Linked DNA regions of Caenorhabditis elegans. The protein of the gene in region 1 purifies or fractionates together with the protein of each later gene. This does not show direct contact. Each region holds a gene or a part of one and is shown in the gene's direction. Other genes may lie near its edges.

Region 1 (6,190 bases):
CAAAGTCTTTCTCTCAGCGCCGGTCTGTTCAAATGTCCTTCATGCTTCTTTTTCTTGGGACTGATCGTCTTATCCTTTGTTTTTCTGTTTTTAACCGGCATTAAGATGGATCTACCGGGATCCATGACTTCTAGAACTTTCCGGTTGAGCTTTGGTTTAACGTCTCTGTCCTTGTAGTAGATATGTACCTGAAAATTAGAGCAAATTTTGTGACGCTACAAAATTCCCCTTACCTGTGGCTCCGAGAGCTTGAACTGTCGAAGTCTTCTATTCTTCAAAAAGCTGTACAATGATAAGCCAAATATCACTGTCGAGATTACAAAAATGGCCAGAGTCGAGTAAAGGGTGAACATTGCCAAAGTATCCTTGACTGAATGAATGTATATATTTTGGAAGGAATTTAAAAATTGGATACCTGACATATAATCGGCGTTTGCTTGATTCATGATCAAAATAGCTACAATTTTGAAAAACTTGCTTTTTGAGAAGTGAAGTTCTAAATTTAGAAATAAAATATTTTGAAATTTTGCGAATACGTTGCAAATAACCACGCGAATAAATCTATTCAATTCATTCTACATAAAAAACTTTTATTCAACTCAAAATAAGTTTTATTCCAACCACCAAGAGAATTCCTCAGAGCAAATGTCTTCTTGTTTCATCTGAATTGATCCGAACGTTTTATAGTAGAGCACGAGTTGATTGATTGAGAAGTGTTTGCGAACGATAGGGTATCCACAATCCACCGAATACTGAACCGTTCCATTGTCTCCAGATTTCCGAACCGGGTAGTGACGATGCTTCTTGGTGGTGGTGTAGTAGACGAGCATCAATGGAAGAGTCGCCGTGAGATGATCAAGGCGGTTGCCGACCTCGAATTGATGGTACAAGGCGAACTCTCCACGATTTTTGACCTGAGCTTCAGCGTCCGCAGAGCTGTACACACCGATGTAGGCAGTCTGGGAAGCATGGTGGCATCTGAAAATAGAAATTGAAACTGGAAATTATTCGCGTTTAAATTTCATGCTGATGCTATAACTGCGAGTACCCTAATAAATTTGTGTCTGCAGTAAATTACGATACTACCTAGATGCGTAAAATTTGAAGCCCAGCCAGGTTCTGGCACGTGCGAAACTCAACTACAGTACCCGCGAGTACGGTAGGTTTTCTCTTTTTCAATTAACGATTCTCAATTTTTAACTGCGAAACACGCTCGGGTACGAAAATCAGGATGTTTTGTTCGTGCCAGGACCCACTATTTCGAGTGAAGATTTTTCGGGAAGCCATGCTCCTTTGAACTCACTTCACATTGCTCTCCAAAGATTCAGTCGTAACTGGACCAGAGAAGTTCGTGGATCCTTCAATAGAGGCCAAGCTCTCATATGTACTCTCTACTGGCTCCGGCTTCTTCTTCTTTCGCTCCTTACTTCCTCTTCGCTTGCCCTTCGACTCCTTCACCTCCAACTTTCTCAGCTTGTCCGCAAGCTTCTCAGCCACCTGTTCCTCTTTGCTTTGCGGCAGCAGAAGATTCACGTACTCGTCGTCCGCTGGTTTTTTACCGTTGGAGCACTGACTGTCTGGCTTCGATTTATTCTGAAAAAGAGCATGTTGAAGCTTCAGAAGTTTTAAACTCGAAATTTCAGAACTTACCAGGCTCAGCGGCTCGTAGATGCTGTTGTACGGAGTTCTGGAGTTCCCATCGTCCACACTTTCCGCTTGATTTTTACCATAAGGGCACTGACCGTTGTGCTTGCAACATCCATCCGGCTTTGATTTGATCTGAAAAAGATACTGTTAAAGCTTCAAAAGCTCAAACTGAAAAGCTTAAAAAACTTACCAAGTTCAGCGGTTTGTAGAGGCTGTTGTACGGAGTTCGTGAGTTCCCATCGTTCATTATTTGCACCTCTTGATTAGTTGGAACTTTGTTTTACAGAAATATCAAACAATGATTGAAAAATCCACAAAATCTCCCTTGTTGTTTTTTCTTCGTTTTACCGAGTTTATTGTGGTTGCAAGAATAACCTTTCGGCCACGTAACAAAAATTGTCTTACTTTTGTGTATATTGTTGTGTTTTTTTTTCAAGTTTAAAAAAAAAAAAAAGCATATTAGACTGTGACAAAGCTTGTATCACGTTCTGCCATTCAACTTATCCCCCGAATATTCATTTGATCTTTGCCTTTCCCCATTCAGTAATCGTGAAGCTGTCGAATTATTGATGGATCTAGCATTTATGAGCAAGCTAAGGATGATTCTCAACACGTGACTAATGACCATGTGAGCCTCTCCATTTTATAGTCTGGCAAATACATACACATACCAAAAACCCAATTATCTATGGGATTGACCAGCAAGTCGGCAAATTGCCGGAATTGAAATTTTCGGCAAATCGGCAAATCGGCAAATTGTGGTTTTGCACATTTTTTTTGAAAATTTCAAAAGTTCAATTTTAATCGGCAAAATTGAACGCAACCTATGAATGTTCCTACATCTATCTTGAAAAAAAAAATCAAAAAGACACAGTTTTAAGTGTTTCCATTTTATAAAAAAACTCCTCTAAAAAGTTCCGGCAAATTGATGTTCGATAAACGGCAAATTGGCAATTTTCCGAAAATCAAAATATCCGGCAAATCGGAAAACCGGCGAATTGCCGATTTGCCGAATTTGCAGCCCATCCCTGTTCCCAAAGCCGTTTGCACGGTTATTTTTGGCCTAATGCCGCATTGAAAAATATCTTCAACATGATTTATTTCAAGATAAATCAATATCAAAAATAATACCCGGAGATCCACTAGTCTTGGACAAACAGTGCTCGAGGATCATTTCTTGCACTCCGGTTATATCAAACGAGAATTCTCATTGACCAGATAAAAATTCCTTTTTTGTGCATTGATCGGCATCATTGAACGTTAACCATGAAAAAGAAAACGATGCGACAGAAAATCAATCAACTGCAAGATCGTCAAAAAATGCGATTGAGTCATCGTAAAAACTGCATGCGTGGTGTCACAAATGCATGGTAGCTGTAACTATTTTTTTGAAGCTTCTGAACAAGAAATGAAAATCCATAATTAAACGTGTCATTTTATAATTTAATCGACACAGCAGCAACCACACATTTCGTAATGTGTCTCTCCACCTATCATTATTACTTTTCGTCCCCTTGCTTTTGCACTTACATCGACCATTTCTCATTTTCTCTCTCCACTGGCGCAACACTATTTCCCTATTTCTTCATAGTTCTTCTTGGCCTCGCCGCTGACCACTATTGTCCTTCTCTTCTCCCCGTAGTATACATAACGCCCGTATATCTTTGCGTTCCTACGTTCTACGATTTTATAGTTAATTTTACTATTCTGAACCTAAATTTCTTTCAATTTTCAGAGAAAAAAAACCATGCGTGAGGTAATCTCCATTCACGTTGGACAGGCGGGAGTTCAAATTGGAAATGCTTGCTGGGAACTATACTGTCTCGAGCACGGAATTCAACCCGATGGAACTATGCCTTCTGAGCAACAAAATGAGGGTGGATCCTTCACCACGTTCTTCTCAGATACTGGAAATGGACGCTATGTTCCGAGATCTATTTTTGTGGATCTTGAGCCAACAGTCGTCGACGAGATCCGCACTGGAAACTACAAGAAGCTGTTCCATCCAGAACAAATGATCACTGGGAAGGAAGACGCTGCTAATAACTATGCTCGTGGTCACTACACCGTTGGCAAGGAGCTCATCGACACTACTCTTGACAGAATCCGTCGTCTCGCCGACAACTGTAGTGGTCTTCAAGGATTCTTTGTCTTCCACTCCTTCGGTGGAGGTACTGGATCCGGATTCACCTCACTGCTGATGGAACGTTTGTCGGTTGACTACGGAAAGAAGTCGAAACTAGAGTTTTCAATCTATCCAGCTCCACAAGTTTCCACTGCAGTCGTTGAGCCATACAACTCGATCCTTACTACTCATACTACTTTGGAGCACTCCGATTGTGCATTCATGGTTGATAACGAGGCGATCTACGACATTTGCAAGCGAAATTTGGATGTTGACCGACCGAGTTACACCAATCTCAACAGAATTATCTCTCAGGTTTCGCAAAATACTTGTTTTAATGTATCCTATGTGTTTCCTTTTCTTTTCAGGTTGTGTCTTCAATCACCGCTTCACTCAGATTTGACGGAGCTCTCAACGTGGATCTCAACGAGTTCCAGACCAACTTGGTGCCATACCCAAGAATTCATTTCCCATTGGCCTCTTACACTCCATTGATCTCTGCCGAGAAGGCATATCACGAGGCTCTGTCTGTCAATGACATCACCAATAGCTGCTTCGAACCAGCAAATCAGATGGTCAAATGTGATCCACGCAACGGAAAGTACATGGCTGTCTGTCTTCTGTACCGCGGAGATGTTGTGCCGAAGGATGTGAACACTGCAATTACTGCCATCAAAACCAAGAGATCAGTTCAATTTGTGGATTGGTGCCCAACTGGGTTCAAGGTTGGAATCAACTACCAACCACCAACTGTGGTTCCAGGAGGTGATCTTGCCAAGGTGCCACGCGCCGTGTGCATGCTCTCCAACACTACGGCTATCGCCGAGGCCTGGTCCCGCCTGGACTACAAGTTTGACTTGATGTACGCCAAGCGCGCCTTTGTTCACTGGTAAGATTCGAGTTGTTTGAAACACAAAATATCGATTATTTGCAGGTACGTCGGAGAAGGAATGGAAGAGGGAGAGTTCACTGAGGCTCGTGAAGACTTGGCAGCTCTCGAGAAGGACTACGAAGAGGTCGGAGCTGATTCCAACGAGGGATTGGAAGAAGACGGAGAAGAGTATTGAAATGTTCACTGTTAAATACTTATGTATCATAAAGTGTTTAAATTATTAACAATTGCGAGTTTGATTGGAGGAGATTTTTTTACAAAGAAAGGGGGAAAATGGCCTATTCCATTCAATCCCAAAATGAGAAGCTTTTGGAATGCCGTTTTTAAATGCTGAAAGAACACAAAATTCGCAATGAAATGGCTACGGGAATTTCTTTACAAGTTATTTTGAAACCAGATATACATTTTCAAAGTTTATAAAATCTACTAATTTTGCATATAAATGGTCAGTTTCATTCCATTTCATAATGTGCTTTAAAAGGTATGGCCGACGTCACACTTTATAGTGTCTTCCTTGTCATTGTGCTGCTCAGCCCGCAGAGTTCCAATCAGTTTTCGGTAAGGCTTATCACTGGAAACTCCTAAAACCATGGGTTTTTTATGTGAACATTGTAGGGGCAAATACCTAAACTTTTCCTTCTTTTGATTTTAGGCTTTCAATGACGTCTGGAAGTGATATTTTTCGTAGTTTCAACACGCTCGGCGGACCAAATAACCTCATAAACTCGCTAAACGGAGTATCTTCAAACTGACATATCTCAAAAAACACACTTCTAGAAAGCAATTGTTCAAACAACAAAATAATCAGAAACATTTTTTCTATTTATTACTTTAATTTTTATTTTAATACACCAGCTATTTGTAGAGTTACACAGAGTCAAAGCCATTTTCCCAGAAATCATGAAAAATTTTGAGAACTCTTTTGTTGTGCCCGTCATAACCCAACGTTCATTGAATTGCAGAAAAAACTTTTCATGAGTTGTATGTAAGAACTATTTCTCTACATTTTATCAGTTTTAAGATTTTTGATATTTTCATGTTCAGCCAAGTTACAGACCGTTTTCTGAAAAAATCCAATTTCGCTCATAAAACTCTTCATATCTAACGTATCGACTTGAAATTTTGAACAATGATCTTTCTTTTGAGGTCTCTACAATGTCCTAAAAAATCTTTCGAAAATGTTGGCTCATCTCCAAAATCGTCCTCCGCTCCAAAATAAGAAATGGGACTTTTGCTTTTCGAAAAATGGGCGAAAAAATTAAATTGCGATTTTTGGGTCGAAAAATATATTTTTAGAAAGCTGAGAACACGCCATTTACGAATTTCATGTTCATTTTAGGTGATTTCTTCTCTGAAACGACCTAAAAATTAAACAAAAAGAACATATTTTTAATTCTCACGTGTAATTATTTGGTAATTTGCTCAGTATTTCAATTGTTTTAATGCAAATTAAAAAATTAAACGTGAGAATTAAAAATATGTTCTTTTTGTTTAATTTTTAGGTCGTTTCAGAGAAGAAATCACCT
Region 2 (8,426 bases), on another chromosome or scaffold:
CCTTCAAAAAAAAATCAAAAATTCAAAAAAAATCTCGTTTTAATTGTAAAGACACGCAATACATGTTACAGGATGCAAGTTAAAGGCACATTATGCGATTTTTCCAGAAAAAGAGGGCGATTGGGATTAAATCACAGTGGAAATGGGGAAGAAATGGATGAAAACCAATAAATTTGGAGGGTAAAAATACATTATGGACATGAAAATGCGTAGTTTGGGCTAAAAATGTGTTTTTGATTGGATCAGAATGGCTTAAAAATGAGGATTTTCAGAGGGAAATTATATTTTCAGAACAATTTTGTGCAGACAAATCGATTTTCCAAGACCATTATGCGATTTTATGGAGCTCGTGGACAGTGTAGATGGTGTTGATTCTCGAATGAACAATTTTTCCGTGGCTGACGACGTCATCGATGAGCACACGGATCAGCGATTCGTCGGTGACAGATCCTGCTAAGATAGTTATGAGAAAAGATGGAAAATCGATTTTTTTTGAATAAATGCATAAAAGTGTGTGCGCCTTTAAAGATTACTGTAGTTCACAATAATTTTGAGGAATTTTCTTCCATTTTTTGAGTATTTTTTCTACGATTTTCACAAGAGAAACTTGAAGAAATCCATGTTAATTAAATTTGCGGAATTAATTCCGCAAAAACGAGCACACATTCAAGAAAATATCATATTTTTAGCTGAAATTCTGCATTTTTGGGTGATAATGTCGATTTACGTAGCCTGTGTACTCCCCGAGGAGAATATTTTTCCCAGTTTTTAACTGAAATATTTGATTTTGAACCATTTTCTCTCATTTTTAGTGTTTCAGATAGAATTGAAAGGGATTAATGTATTAATATATTGAAAATCAGGAATTTGTAGCTTTTTTTTCCATCTAAAACATAACTAAATTGAGAAGAAATCATCGAAAAATGATCTAAAATGAAGCTTTTCAAGCAGAAATTGTGAAAATTTCTGACAATTGATGTGTACTCTGTGGGAAAAATATTATCAGTTTGCGAAAATCGTCTAAAATCTGAAATTTCTTCTTCTCGCGGAGTACACGCGCCGCGTAAATCAACACATGGCCTAGCAATCCAGTTTTCTTCAGACTTTCCCATACCTTTAAGGTAGTCAAGCATTTTTTCACGTGTTGGGAGAGTGTATACGGCCACTTTGACAGCGGTACGAATGATCCATGGATGATGTCTGGAAATTAAAAATTCATAACATGAAATTCAGATTTTCAGAGCATACTTTGCCAGGGTTCCATCATAGCATTCCTTGCAAATCTTGGGAATGCTGTCATCGTTAGTGGCAGCCACTGCCGCATACATGAACTCGACGATGAACTCGAGAGCCCTGGAAATTCAAGGAAATTTTAAGATTTCTAGTCAAAAAGTACCGATTTAAATGTAAAATTGCCACTGCTCCACTCTCTTTTCCATTCTTCTCCATTGGTTTTTCACTGTGAACAAGAGCAACTACAGTTTTGTATCCTTCTGGATTCGCCGTATGAAGCTCCTTCAGAAGATCAATCTTCTCACGAACATCTTTCTCCACAAATTCAAAGATTTTTCCGAGCATTCCGATGAATTTGCACAGCTCTTCGTAGACTTCGACGAATGTCAGAAGCTCAACGTCATCCGGAGTCACTTCCGGGCAGTTTTCCACGTCACTTTTCTCCACGATAATGACGTCAGTGGAGAGTTTCTTCATTTGAGTGGCTACGAGCTTAATGCAGAAGGGTGAAGCGGTGTCTTCGGTCATTTTTAGCTGAAATTTTGGAATTTTATCGATTTTTACGAAAAAAAAATCACAAAAATAGAGAGAAAATAGCGAAAGGAGGCGATAAACTTTCATCAAATGTATTATAAAAGCCGTTGTTTTGATTTTAAACTGCTGATTCATAGTGAGCGCGTGATTCAAAAGCATCAGAAATCGCAGGAAAAACAAAACTGGAGACGACAAAATTATATTGAATTTATCTTTAGAAACAATGAGTAAAATTCATTTTTTTTAACGAAATTCCAGAACCAAATCTTCTTGAGTATTGACCAATATATTGGGAAATTATGTAAAAAATCAGCAATTTTTGATTTTCATGGATTTTCGCCGTATTCGGCGAATGTGAAAACGGAAAACATGCTTAAATAAATTATAAATTAGTATTTAAACAATTTGAAACATAAAAATCCGTTTAAAAACTTCTAAAACCGAAAAAAAAAAGCTGAAAAACGTGGAAAAAATTGATAAAAATTTATTTTTTCGATGGTAATGCAAGAGCGCCCCAATGCACACTCTCTTTTCGAATCATTCGAATGGCAATTTTCATTTATTTTTGTGTAAAAATATCGGTTTTCCTTGTTTTTTAATGCTTTTGCGCTGATTTTTGATGTAAAAGCTATTAGAAATTGTCTAAATTTTGTCGGAATGCATCGGGAACCATCACAATTTGGTTTTTTGGGTGTATTTCTCTTGTCTGAAAGTTTCCCGCTGGAGGTTAAACAATTGTTCCAAGAAATCGATAGAAACGTTTCAAGACATATTTAACGAAAAATATTTATTCTAAAAGATCAAGTACAGCACGAACATCAATTTTCCTCCGTTGAAAGCTGAAAATATACAGAATTTGTCAGATTCATTTATTTTTTCTCGGCAATCCCTCACCGATCCGCGCTTCTTTTTCCCTTTCTTCCGTCTCGCATCCGTCTTAATCTTCGCAATTTCTTGCTCCAAATGCCATTGAACAGGAGTCTCGCATGCCACGTCACCATTTGTCACGTCACCAACCGCCCGATACTGTAACCAAAGCGGTATCGAAGCGGAGACGACAAAGATGACGGCGAGCCCAATGTAGGACCAATAGAGCTCCGAAGTGTCCGTCTGATAGTGCTTGAAATAGTGTGAAACTTGATATTTGTCCATTTTTTGTTGTAGTTTTTCTCTGTATTTGAAATGAGAAATGTTAATTTTTTTCTTATTTTTCTCGAAAACGAACGTGAAATTTAAATTTAAAAATTAAAATTAGTTTTTTTTTCAGAAACTCAAACAAATCAAAAATGGATGCGCTACAAGCGTATGGCGGTAGCGACAGTGAACACTCAGATGATGACGCCAGCATGGATCAGGTCGCAAAAGGAAAATCATCGACATTGCTGGAAAGAGCCATAGTCACTGCTCCGGACGTTGAGTCGAAAAGTGCAATTCGACAAGTAGCGATTGTAGATCCAAAGACTAAAGAGATTAAATCAAATCCAAAATTTGATCAGCTCTTCAAGCCAGAATCTGGGCCAGTAAATCACTTTAAATCAGAGCAACAAAGATCACAAAAGAACACATTGACAGGATTCGTCGAGCCTGCACATCTCAATGAATTTCATTTTAATCGACAAATTCGAAGCTTTGATACTCTTGGGTACGCTCAGAATCCGACTGCCGAATCCGGTACAACTCATTTCGTGGGAGACGTCAAAAAAGCAGAAGCCGAGAAAGGAGTTTCACTTTTTGAATCGAAAAAGACTGGCGGGGAGAAGAGAAAACGAGTTAGAAATGATGATTCAGCAGATATTGATGGATATACTGGACCATGGAGTCGATTTATTGATGAAAAGACAGTCGCTAAACCAACACCAGAACTTCAGAAACAAATGGATGAAATTGTGAAGAAGAGGCAAGAAAAAAGCAGGCGATTCAAGAAAGAAAAGGAGGATAGTGAGCAAATGGCTGAAGAGAGCTCCACGCTTCATTGTACGAGTTTATTCTTGATTGTTTGGCTTGAAATGGCTCAAAAAGGCCTTTAAAGTTCCGGAAATGTGCTAAATTTAGCTGAAATTTTCCAATTTTCAGTTGATTTTTTGATCAGATTTGTGCTCTTTCTGACTGAAAATGTAATTAGATAAACAGAAAACGCTAGATAAACGTGAAAATGGAAGATTAATTGGATAAATTACGATTTTAGCTAAAATTGGCCAAATTTTAGAGCCATTTTATTAGATTTAAGCAAAATTTTAAGCTCATTTTAGCCATTTTCGAATATTTAACCCAATTTTTAAACGTTGCAGAGAAATTTCGTTTCTTTTTTTGAAATTTTTAACCGATTTTCAGCGAATTAACTGTTTTTCCGAGATTTTAAACTTTTATTTTTTATTTTTAGCGAAATTTTTTTGGCATTTCAAGGGAAATCTAAAACAATTTGTATTGATAAGAGAAAAAGATAGTTTTCCAAGATTTTTGCTAAATTTAATCTGATCATTTTAAACATTTTTAGTGAAATTTGGCCCAAGTTTGTTAACGATTTAAGATAAAATTTGCTATTTGTTGTTTAATTTCAACAATTTCAGCTCAGTTTAGCCATTTTTGGAATTTGATTCAATTTTTTAAAGAATTTTACCGAAATTTGGCACCTTATTTTTTAAATTATCTTGAAATTTTGAAACAATATTTCGCTTAACATGGATAAATTGCTTCGAAAATCGAAAATTTTGCATTCTGAATAAGAAATACCAATTTTAGAGTGTTTTCAGAAGATTTTTTTCGGTTTTCGAATGGTTCGATTTTTCGGTTATGCTCAAAAGTTTTTCTGGAAGTACATCAACTCTTCTAATAATTAATTTTTCAGTGAAAGAAGCCGAGGATTACCAAGGTCGCTCATTTCTTGTTCCACCATCATTCACCGGTGTCAATCTCCGAGAGGACTACGTTCCCGAGCGATGTTTCGTACCGAAAAAGCTTGTTCACACGTATCGAGGACATAACAAAGGTGTCAATTTCCTTCAATGGTTCCCGAAAAGTGCTCATTTATTCTTGTCATGCTCAATGGACACAAAAATCAAATTATGGGAAGTATATGATCGTCAGCGAGTTGTCAGAACATACGCAGGCCATAAGCTTCCTGTTCGTGAAGTTGCATTTAATAATGAGGGTACAGAATTCTTGTCAGCATCTTTTGATCGATACGTGAAGCTTTGGGATACTGAAACTGGACAAGTTAAGCAGAGATTTCATACTGGACACGTACCGTATTGCTTGAAATATCATCCAGATGATGATAAGAATCATATGTTTTTGGTTGGAATGCAGAATAAGAAGATTATTCAATGGGATTCAAGATCTGGAGAAATTGTTCAAGAATACGATCGTCACTTGCAGGCAGTCAATTCTATCACATTTTTCGACAAGAATCGTCGTTTCGCATCCACTTCTGATGATAAAAGTGTCAGAATTTGGGAATGGGAGATCCCAGTAGACACGAAACTTATTCAAAATGTTGGACTTCATGCGATTCCGACTATGACAAAGAGTCCTAATGGTAATTATTGAGGAACATTAAATTCAGGGAACGCGTATTGTGCAATGTATATGACGCGCAAAATATCTCGTAGCGAAAACTACAGTAATCCTTAAAATGATTACTGTAGCGCTGTTGTGTCGATTTACGGGCTCAATTTTCGGAACGAATTTCATTTCGAATAGTGAGCGATTTTTCATTTTTTCTCCAATTTTTCGCAAAATTGAAGGAAGCTGAAATACCGTTGCCACTATTTAAAAAAAAATATTTCAAAAATCGAGCCCGTAAATCAACACAAGCGCTACAGTAGTCATTTTAAGGGTTACTGTAGTTTTCGCTACGAGATATTTTGCGCGTCGAATATGTTGCTCAATACACATTCACAATGCTTTGTGCTCCTGTAATAAAAATACTTAAAGCTCAAATTTCTCTCATTTCTTTTCCAGATAAATGGGTTGTGGGACAATGCATGGACAATCGGATAGTCCTTTTCCAGCTTGTCGATGATAAGCTTCGATTCTCAAAAAAGAAGGCTTTCAGAGGACACAATGCGGCTGGATATGCGTGCAATATCGATTTTTCGCCGGATCAAAGTTTCCTAATCTCTGGTGATGCTGATGGAAAATTGTTTATTTGGGATTGGAGAACACACAAAATTGTTGGAAAGTAAGGTTTTCTATGTGGAAATTATTGATTTTTTGTTTAAAAAAAAGATGGAAACTGGTAAAAAATTTAAAAATCACGATTTTTCCGATTATTTTGCGCTTTAATATAAAAAAATGCTGAGAAAGCCCTGAATTTAATATAAAATTTTCTCTCATTTAATTAAATTTTTTCTAATTTAAAACATTCTAATTGAATAAAAAAGTGAAAAGTACCCAACTTTAACGATTTTTACCTTAAAAATTGAGTTTTAAACCCGAAAAATCCAAAAAATAAACTTTTTTTTCGATTTTAATGCGTCAAAATTTCTGAAAAAATCGTAATTTTTCAATTTTTCAATCGTTATTTTCAGTAAATACGCCACATTTTCCATTATTAAAATAAAAAACCCCAAAACCTCCAAAAAATGTATGATTTTCAGATGGAAAGCTCATGATAGCACTTGTATCGCAGCACTATGGCATCCACATGAAAAAAGCCGAATGATTACTGCTGGATGGGATGGTCTCATTAAAATGTGGAATTAATTGTTGATTTTTCCCTTTTTTCCCAAAAAAAAATTATTATTTTCCCAAATTTTGGCTCTTTTTCTCACGAGTTTTTGTCCCATCTCTCACATTTCCCTGTTCATTAAAAAAATTTTTTTTTTCGTAATAATGTTTTACTTTCTCCTGTTTCAATTATTTATTTTGTATCTTTGTTCATTTATTTGTTTTTTCTTCCAATTTTAAACCCTATTCTTACAGAACATTTCCGACACACGGAAATTGATAAAATTATTTTTATTTTTTAGCCTGAAATTTCAGTTTACCCAATTAATGGTTATCGACCAGATTTTATTTTAATTTTTTAAAGGAAAATTAGTTTTTTTTTCTATGAAAAAAAGTTATATATTTTTTTGGAAATTTATAACTCTTAAAAAAATTCAATTTTTTCAAATAAATAAAATTTCAGATGGCTTCTCAACCGGAGCTCATAATGGTTGACGAGCAAGTCGTCGCTTATGAAGTAGAAATTGATAGTTTTGATGTAAAATATGATGAAGAGGAACATGATGGTCAAGGGACACAAGATGAACCATTTTCTCATGGTACGGAACAGTTTTACGCTGAAAAATTCCAGAATTCCAAAAAATGAAACCTAAAATAGTGATAAAAAGGCGTTTTGAATATTAAATTGAAGAAAAAAATCAGCAAAAATTGTTCAAAATCAAGAATTTTAACGGAAAAGTGTAAAATCTTCTCCACGGGGAGTACACATGCTTCGTAAATCGACATATGGTCAATTTTAAAGTTTTGAAAATTGAAATGCCGGCAAAAAATCTTTTCTTGTTTTTTTTTCGCAAAAAATTCAATTTTCGAAAAAATAATTATAGAAAATTGCATTTTTTGACCGAAAAGTCAATAAAAATAACAGAAAAAATCGATAAACCGTTGAAAAATTTTTTTTTAATTCAAAAATTCAGAAATTCTTAAAATTCAAATTTCCAGATGAGCCAAGCACCAGCGGTTATCACCATCACTACCAATTTCCCAATGACGTGGATCCAAATGATGTTTATTTATTCGATGAGGTATCAATTATCCGAAATTTGGCGATTTTTGAGCCAAAACTACGGTACCCGGTCTCGACACGACAATTTTTGTTAAATTAAAAAAGGTGTGCGCCTTTGAAGGTTACTGTAGTTTCGAACTTTTGCTGATTTTTCATATTTTTTCGTTGAAAACAAAAGTATTTATTTGTTGAAAATCAGAAAATATTATCTTCGCGTCGAGACCTATTACCATTCTATTTTTGCCGCAAAAAACAAAATTTCCTTTAAAAAAAAGCTAATTTTTCCAAGTTTTTCCAGGAAACTGATCAAATTCATCAGCTCGACCCGAATCAACTCAAAAATAATGAAGAAATTGACGATGTCGAATATATTGATCAATCTGTGCCTTCCACGTCATCAATGATGACGTCACTGCCGTCAACGGTGGCTCCAGTTCAGCCAAATACGTATTACAGACGGAAATCTGGAGGCCCAACTGCAACTGGAAATGAAAAACCGAATTATAGGCCGTTGGCGTTCCAAACGGTTCGTAAAATAAAAAAAATGTCCATGTGTCGATTTACGCAGCTTCTCGTGTACTCCTCGAGGAAGAAATTCGCCAGTTTTCTGAATTTTATCATTAAAATTTCATGATCTCCTCGGGGAGTACACGAGAAGCTGCGTAAATCGACATGGAGACCAAATATTCGATTTATCGAGGTTTTTTCCTGAGAAAATCGAAGTAAAAATGTTTTAAAAAATGAGAGAAAACTATAAATTTATCGTAAAAGTATATATTTCAATGAGAAAAAGTTGTATTTTCCAAAAAAATAAAAATTATAGGAAATTATGAAAAAAATTTCGTTTTTCCAAAAAAATTTTTAAAAGGAGAAAACTAACTAGTAAGTTTATCAAAAAAAGTTTATTTCGGTTAAAAAAAATTATAAA
Region 3 (7,397 bases), on another chromosome or scaffold:
TTTAGATTAGGTAAAAATTTAAGTTTTCCCCTGAATAATCTCTTTGATCCCCCTTTGAAAGCTCATTAATAAATTTAAAGCATTAAAATGGTTTGTAGATGTTATAAGCAGTTGATTTCTGTATTCAAATATCTGTAAATATTTATTTCGACCTTTAAAGTTAATGTTTTAGATGAAAGGTGGCGGTGGAATAGGGGATGGCAAAAAGGACTATCAATCAGCTGTTCATGAAGTAAGTTTTTATTAAAAACTCTGTTATTCCTTTTAATAGTTTTGAGTGATTCAGATGAAATATAGATTTTAAATCTAAATTTTTCAGGGATTAACAACATTCGATCAATTGGGAATTGCACTTGAAGATGTCGGTAAATCAATGGACGCAGAAACAGCTACACCAGGAGGAAGTTTATTTTCCAGAGTTATGTAAGTGATTCGGTTATTCTCGAAAAAAAACTCATTGTTGAAAATGTAGCACTATTTTCTAACATTTCAACAAATAAAATTCTGGCTCACTACCGAGTTCGTATTTTCAACATTGAACAGACACATGGAATTGTTTTCAAAAATCATTCGGTCTCACACATTATGGAGGGAGAAACAGTTTAACCTCAACGCAAATCCGATTTGGTCGAATCGTTTCATCGCCTCTCCCTCTGCTCTCATAAAACAAATAGATTGAGAGTGGTGTTACACGAGTTTTCCATACCAAATGAGATCCTTTTTGACAGGTCGGAGAGAGAATTTATTTGTTTTGATAGAGACTCAAAACTAAAAGTTATGATTTTGCCCAGAATGTTATAATATTTCACGACAAGTATAACTTACAAATGAAGAAACGAAAAATGTTCTTCCTGTTTTTTTAATTTCTGAAAATCATTAGAAATTGGTTAGTTATTCTTTTTCGCATCGATTCCAGTTTGAGCTCATGTATTATCATTGTCAAAAGTTTGACGCAATTAAGCGACTATTCATGTTACATTTTTCTGCAATTGAGCTACATTTCGCCAATAATATAAGTTTTTTTTTAAATCTTGTTCATGATATATCAAAGTTAACACAGGTTTTTTTTTCTAATTTCTGACTAGAACGATCTTTGTAGGTACAAATTTCTTCGAAATTCTATAGCCAAAAAGTGATAAGATGATGTCTCAATGATTCTCGACACTTCTAACAAATAAATAACCTGATTCTACATTTTCGAGGTCATTCATACTTTGGTTTCTCATTTTTCTTTCCAGTTGAGTTGAAAGTCGTAGTTTTGATTCCGAACTTAAAATTTTCCTCATTTCTTTTACATTATGTAATTTTTTTTTGCAAAATTATATTCCAAACAGTATATTAATCCGATCCAGTTTTCGTTTCAGGAACGAAAATTCTTCACTAAAATCGAGGACGTACGACCATTCAAACGATCTTGTGAACATGTCGGTGATTCCTGCCGAATCGAGTTATGTACTCTTTTTCCAAGTAAGTTTTTCAGGTATTTTACAAAAGAAATTATGAACTTGCTGTTTTCAGGTTCTCTTTCCGTTTGCCGTCGCTGGTCTTGGAATGGTATTTGCTGGATTGGTTCTCTCAATAGTAGTCACATGGCCTTTGTTCGAAGAAATCCCTGAAATTCTGATTCTAGTTCCAGCACTGCTTGGGCTTAAAGGAAATCTGGAAATGACACTAGCCAGTCGACTCTCAACACTTGTGAGTTTACACTTGAGAATATTCAATTTTATAATTTTCTATCAATTTTTCAGGCTAACCTTGGTCATATGGATTCTTCAAAACAACGAAAAGATGTAGTCATCGCCAACTTGGCACTTGTGCAAGTTCAGGCTACTGTCGTCGCTTTCCTCGCTTCTGCTTTTGCCGCTGCTCTCGCTTTCATTCCTTCTGGGGATTTCGATTGGGCTCATGGTGCATTGATGTGTGCAAGCAGCCTAGCTACAGCATGTAGTGCATCCCTCGTACTATCACTGTTAATGGTGGTTGTCATTGTGACATCTCGAAAATACAACATCAATCCCGATAATGTGGCCACACCAATTGCTGCATCACTTGGAGATCTGACGACACTCACTGTACTGGCTTTCTTCGGATCCGTGTTCCTCAAAGCTCATAATACTGAATCTTGGCTCAATGTTATCGTGATTGTATTATTCCTTCTTCTCCTTCCTTTCTGGATAAAAATTGCCAACGAGAATGAAGGAACACAGGAGACTCTCTACAATGGATGGACACCAGTCATCATGTCAATGCTTATCAGTAGTGCTGGAGGATTTATATTAGAAACCGCAGTCCGAAGATATCATAGCTTGAGTACATACGGTCCAGTATTGAATGGTGTTGGAGGGAATTTGGCTGCTGTTCAAGCCAGCAGACTCTCTACTTATTTCCATAAAGCCGGCACAGTTGGAGTTCTTCCGAATGAATGGACTGTCAGTCGATTTACCAGTGTTCAGCGTGCATTCTTCTCAAAAGAATGGGATTCTCGATCGGCTCGAGTTCTTTTGTTACTCGTTGTTCCTGGTCATATTTGCTTCAATTTCCTTATCCAGTTATTCACTTTGACTTCAAAGAATAATGTGACACCCCATGGACCACTTTTCACCAGTCTTTATATGATTGCGGCAATCATTCAGGTAAGGTTTTATCGAAAATTTAAAATATATAATCAAAATTTCAAAAATTGCAGGTTGTCATACTTCTATTCGTTTGTCAACTTCTCGTCGCTCTTCTTTGGAAATGGAAAATTGACCCAGATAATTCTGTGATTCCATATCTTACAGCTCTTGGAGATCTCCTAGGAACCGGACTCCTATTCATAGTATTCCTCACTACTGACCATTTTGATCCAAAGGAACTCACTTCGTCATAATTTTAAAACGTTCAAACTTTTACCACATTGTATAACTGCATCCCCGTTATTATAGATTGGTTCTCATCCCCCATCTGCATGTAAAACAGTATTTCGCTAACCTAATTTTTCATTTTCACAACTAACGCACTTTCATCAGAACTCTAGTCAAACCCGATGAGTTGATTGATATCCATTTGCCGTCAAGCGCATAATTTTCTGTACATTGTGATCCATTTTTCTCTCTAGCTATTTTTGGTCATATCTAATAGACATTTTGCATTTTCCGCTAGTCACTATGTATTTTTTGGGAATAAATAAGTTAATTTGAACTTTTAAATTTAATTAATTTTTATCTCTGGACATCTTATTCCGCGAGTGGTCCAATAATTTTGACAAGATGGGCCAAGAAAAAAAACAATTTTCCAGATGGAAATAGGACAACGAGTTCGAATAAATTTCGAAGTAGCAACAGTTCGATATATTGGAGAAGTCGATGGATACGGTAGTCAACGATGGGTTGGATTGGAGTGGGATGATCCGACACGTGGAAAACATGATGGAATTGTGAGAGGAAAACGATACTTTCAGACGAGGTTAACAGACATTTTCATCAGAAATATATTCTATAGACATTTCTCATTCGAAACTGTCGGAAATGAATTCCAAATTGGGACAAAAAATGGAAGTGATCTCCGCTGTACACATTTTCATAGTTTTATGGCGGTCTCCATGAACTTTTAAATATACAGTGTCGGGGGATTATTTACCGTATTTAACACTCCAATTACTTTCCCTTAAAAATTCGTCACTAAATAATACAAACTAGTCACAAAAGTGTGAACTTTCAAATTTTCAGACATCCAAATGGAGGATCATTGATGAAGCATGAAATAGTACCGAAACCAACTGATCTATTGTTTGAAATCAAAGACAGATACATCGAGGAAGAGAGCGTCGAAACTGAAATTGAATTGGCGCAATCCAATAAGAAGATCGAGTTGATCGGAATGGATCAAACGGCTGCAAAACAAAGCAATATCGAGAAACTTATAAATATTGTTCTTGATAATCGATCAGTCGGCTTCCCACCTTCCTCGGATTCTCCCCAATTTATACTTTGTCGTGAACTTAATCTTTATGGAAATCTACTGTACAAATGGAAAACAGTTCGTCAGATTCTTGAATATTTTCCTAGAATTCAAGAACTCAACTTACGAAGGAATCGCATGCAATGCTTCAATGAAGAAGAAGATGATGATGAATCAGAAGGAGATGATCATGTTTATTCGGATAGTTGTAAGAAATTGGTCATTAGTGAATGCAATTTATCTGAGAATTCGGTAGGTTAAAGATTAAAGGTTAAAGGAATACCAATGAAATATTAAAAAAAAAGTGTCTAGAATTGCTATTTTTATTTTTCAGATCGACTCGATTCTTCTCCGGTTCCCCTCTACATCAGATGTCGTGGCGTTTGGTAATGATCTCACAAGATTCTCAGTTTCTGAAGCTGTTTCATCTCGTCTTACATCCCTCGATCTCGAAGATAATCCATTCAAAACACTAGATTCCATTCACGGAACTTTTCCGAATTTGACACAACTTTCTGTGGCGAATTGTGGAATTACGAGCTTAAACGGATTCGATGGTTCGATAAAATTCCCGAAACTCGAATATCTGAACATAAAAAGAAATTCAATTGTTGAATGGAAAAGTGTAAATTCCATTAGATCTCTTAAAAGTTTGAAACGGTTATTGTTCGATTGCAAAAAATTATCAACTGAAAAGGGTGTCCATGCCTATGAGATTGTAATTGCCAAGTTGAGCACTTTAATAGGTTGGTTTCAAAAATATTAAAAATTATTTAAAGTAGATGTTTTTTTCTAGATCTCAATAGGTTTGATGTGTCAGAAGTAGAACGAAGGTCTGCAGAAATTCGATTTCTGAACAAATATGCCGGTCTAAATGATAACGAAGATCATCAAGACGATATCAAAAGACTGATTGAAATTCATGGAGAACCGACACTTGATACAGCAAAAAAGGGCCTTGCGGTGGTGAAAATTAGAATTGAATGTGGAAATCGAGTGGAGACACGAAGGCTTCCATTGGGAATGAGCATACAGAAAATTAGAGATATGGTAGGCAAATGAACAATCATTATTATTTGAATCAAGAAGACATGCATGTACTTTTGAAAATGCAAAGAATTTAATTTAAAAATGTATTATCTTGATTCGATTATTTTGGGGACGCAGAAACGCGCTCCACTTCCAATTGAAAACGTAACGAGCAATGGGTCTCGCTAGGTATTTGACAGAAAACTGTAAAATCAAACGTTTCTAGTTTGTTTTGCCGATTTCGCTAATTTTAAAGATTTTTTGTTATGTTTTCCGTTGTTTCCAAAGATTTTTATGCCGAAAGTAATGAAATAAAAATTTGAGACAAAATAGAAAAAATCATTAGCATTTCATTTTTAAACATCTCTTCGACATAAAAATCATTAAAGAATGAAAAACGAACCAAAAAAAGACGAAAAATGTTTAAAAATAGGCGAAATCAGTAAAACTAATTGAAACATTTTAATTTACGGTTTTGTCGCCTAATACCTAACGAGACCCATAGTTTGTGGGCGGAGCATTTAAAATTAACCGTTGAGCGTGTTTTCAGATCAATGTCTAAAGTGTTTTTTTCTGCGTCCCCATATAGAGGCTAGTTTCATCAAAAAATAGAGGCTAAATACTTCCATCAAAAATTTTATTTTTTCCAGCTCGCTCGTCTCTTCAAAGTCCCCAATACATCGAAAATCCGTCTATACCTCGTTATGAGTGAAAAAGCCAAACAACACCGAATTGAACTAGAAAATCCGTTAAGAGAATTTGGACACTATTCACCTTCAGAAGATCGAGATATTCTTGTTGTGGAACATGATTGAATTGTTACCGGAAGATTATTTATTGCACAACTTATTGTTTGTTACAAAATATATGAGCTTTAACTTGCATAAAATTCCTTAATTTCTTATCAGCGAAAATGTCCGTTAAAAATACTATCCGTTATGTATCGATTTCAATACTATTTACAATTATTCCGATTATGGAATAAAATCAATCAGTGAAAATTTCACTTTTGAAAATTTCGTCATATGCATGGGTCTCGCAACTATTGTTGGTTTTTTTTGTACTGTGATCTACTATTGCATACCAGAAAATCTTTTTTGAATTTTTGAAGAATGTCAGCGAAAGAAGTGGATTTCGAGAGAGAAAGTCATCTTCAGTGAGTTTTTAAATTACTGAAAATCAATAGTTATTTGTGATCTTGTTGAATAAAGTTCAATTTATCATAAAAATAATTTTGAATTTTCAGTGCTGTGATGTGTTTTCTCACTGGACAAAGCGGCGAAAAGATTGTATCTATTTATCCACATCGAAAACCAGCTACCAAAGGTAATCTGAACAATATAAAATCTCAAAAAAAAAAACATTTTCAGCTCCATCGAAAGATCCACAACCTTCCAGCTCTAATCCAGGACAATGTGTGAAGCCAGTTCTTACAAGTGTCAAAGAGTTCGTTTAAATCCGAATATTTAAATTTAAATATTCAAACGTTCAAAATTTCAGTCCAAGTTATGGTTTCGGACGTGTGGATACAGAATTCGACATGTCTCTCGGAATGCTTGCTTATGTGTTCAAAACTCAAGAAATTGCGTGTAACGATGGGTTCGATATGAAGATCAATAATCAAAGATTCGTTGCATATCCGAAGACATGGAAAGCACGTGGTGAATCCACCAACTATCAGATTTCGATTGTTTTTGCACTTAAAAACGGATGTGAACAGCACACAGCGTCCGCATATCAAACACTTTCGAATAAGATTGCAGTCAGTTTGGTCATGCTCCAAAACTATTTTGGATTTCTGGAACGAGAGGACAAGTGGGCAGATAATGCTGAAGAACCTAATAAAGATCATCCTCTGGAAGAGTTCGCAAAGACTAGTTTCATAGTTCAACCATTGGCTGAAATGTTTGAAGAAGTGCGAAATCGAGGAAATATTCATGTAAGATTCAAATTCTTTTAAATTCAGATTTGTTTCCACTAAAGGTTCTATCAGATTTTGATTACAATATTTATTGTAATTTCGCGATATTTTTGACATGTCATTTCAAAGGAACACGCATTTTTCCCATGGTGGTCTTGTCACGATATCAGGGTGCCAGACTTTACAGATTTGTTCATTTGATGTAGAAAAAAAACTTTTGAAATTTTAAATTCTAACCTGTTCAGAAAAACAGAATTTATCATGTACCATTTAAGCACCTAGTAGTATCACTTTACGCGAATGGATGATAAAATTCAATCTAGACTTAAAAAAACATTTCCAGAAATATCTCATAAATTTTGTGGAACTTGGATTTTGTGATGAAGCACATGCCTTGACGAAGTTAAATGTAGTGCCGAAAGGAAGGCAGGAAATCGATGAAATCGTCAGAAAAATGAAGTGAGTTTTTCCTATAATAACCCATTTTTTGGAACTACAAAAACTATTT

The links.
Region 2: the proteins of tba-4 (region 1) and prp-17 fractionate together in Caenorhabditis elegans (co-fractionation; one large-scale study listed by BioGRID). This does not show direct contact.
Region 3: the proteins of tba-4 (region 1) and tbce-1 fractionate together in Caenorhabditis elegans (co-fractionation; one large-scale study listed by BioGRID). This does not show direct contact.

Annotation. Positions count from the first base shown.
Region 1 is NC_003280.10:10,915,324-10,921,513, forward strand, and holds tba-4 (Tubulin alpha chain), read left to right. Parts: upstream 1-3,382; 5' UTR 3,383-3,394; coding exon 3,395-4,087; intron 4,088-4,140; coding exon 4,141-4,661; intron 4,662-4,706; coding exon 4,707-4,839; 3' UTR 4,840-4,893; downstream 4,894-6,190. Other genes in the region: F44F4.9 (uncharacterized protein), read right to left, coding at 1-188, 234-370, 416-446; F44F4.10 (PARP catalytic domain-containing protein), read right to left, coding at 612-978, 1,304-1,593, 1,651-1,779, 1,838-1,894.
Region 2 is NC_003279.8:10,933,787-10,942,212, forward strand, and holds prp-17 (Pre-mRNA-processing factor 17), read left to right. Parts: upstream 1-3,028; 5' UTR 3,029-3,053; coding exon 3,054-3,741; intron 3,742-4,612; coding exon 4,613-5,302; intron 5,303-5,727; coding exon 5,728-5,947; intron 5,948-6,365; coding exon 6,366-6,471; 3' UTR 6,472-6,735; downstream 6,736-8,426. Other genes in the region: tag-296 (Glycolipid transfer protein domain-containing protein), read right to left, coding at 329-453, 1,115-1,200, 1,249-1,353, 1,397-1,761; F49D11.14 (uncharacterized protein), read right to left, coding at 2,586-2,606, 2,662-2,919; Y95D11A.3 (BZIP domain-containing protein), read left to right, coding at 6,899-7,034, 7,435-7,517, 7,797-8,024.
Region 3 is NC_003282.8:8,291,413-8,298,809, forward strand, and holds tbce-1 (Tubulin-specific chaperone E), read left to right. Parts: upstream 1-3,277; coding exon 3,278-3,444; intron 3,445-3,707; coding exon 3,708-4,191; intron 4,192-4,273; coding exon 4,274-4,685; intron 4,686-4,735; coding exon 4,736-4,989; intron 4,990-5,618; coding exon 5,619-5,783; 3' UTR 5,784-5,871; downstream 5,872-7,397. Other genes in the region: K07H8.2 (SLC41A/MgtE integral membrane domain-containing protein), read left to right, coding at 173-232, 320-423, 1,353-1,467, 1,519-1,695, 1,749-2,633, 2,687-2,869; nprl-3 (GATOR complex protein NPRL3), read left to right, coding at 6,081-6,124, 6,215-6,294, 6,339-6,414, 6,469-6,907, 7,233-7,348.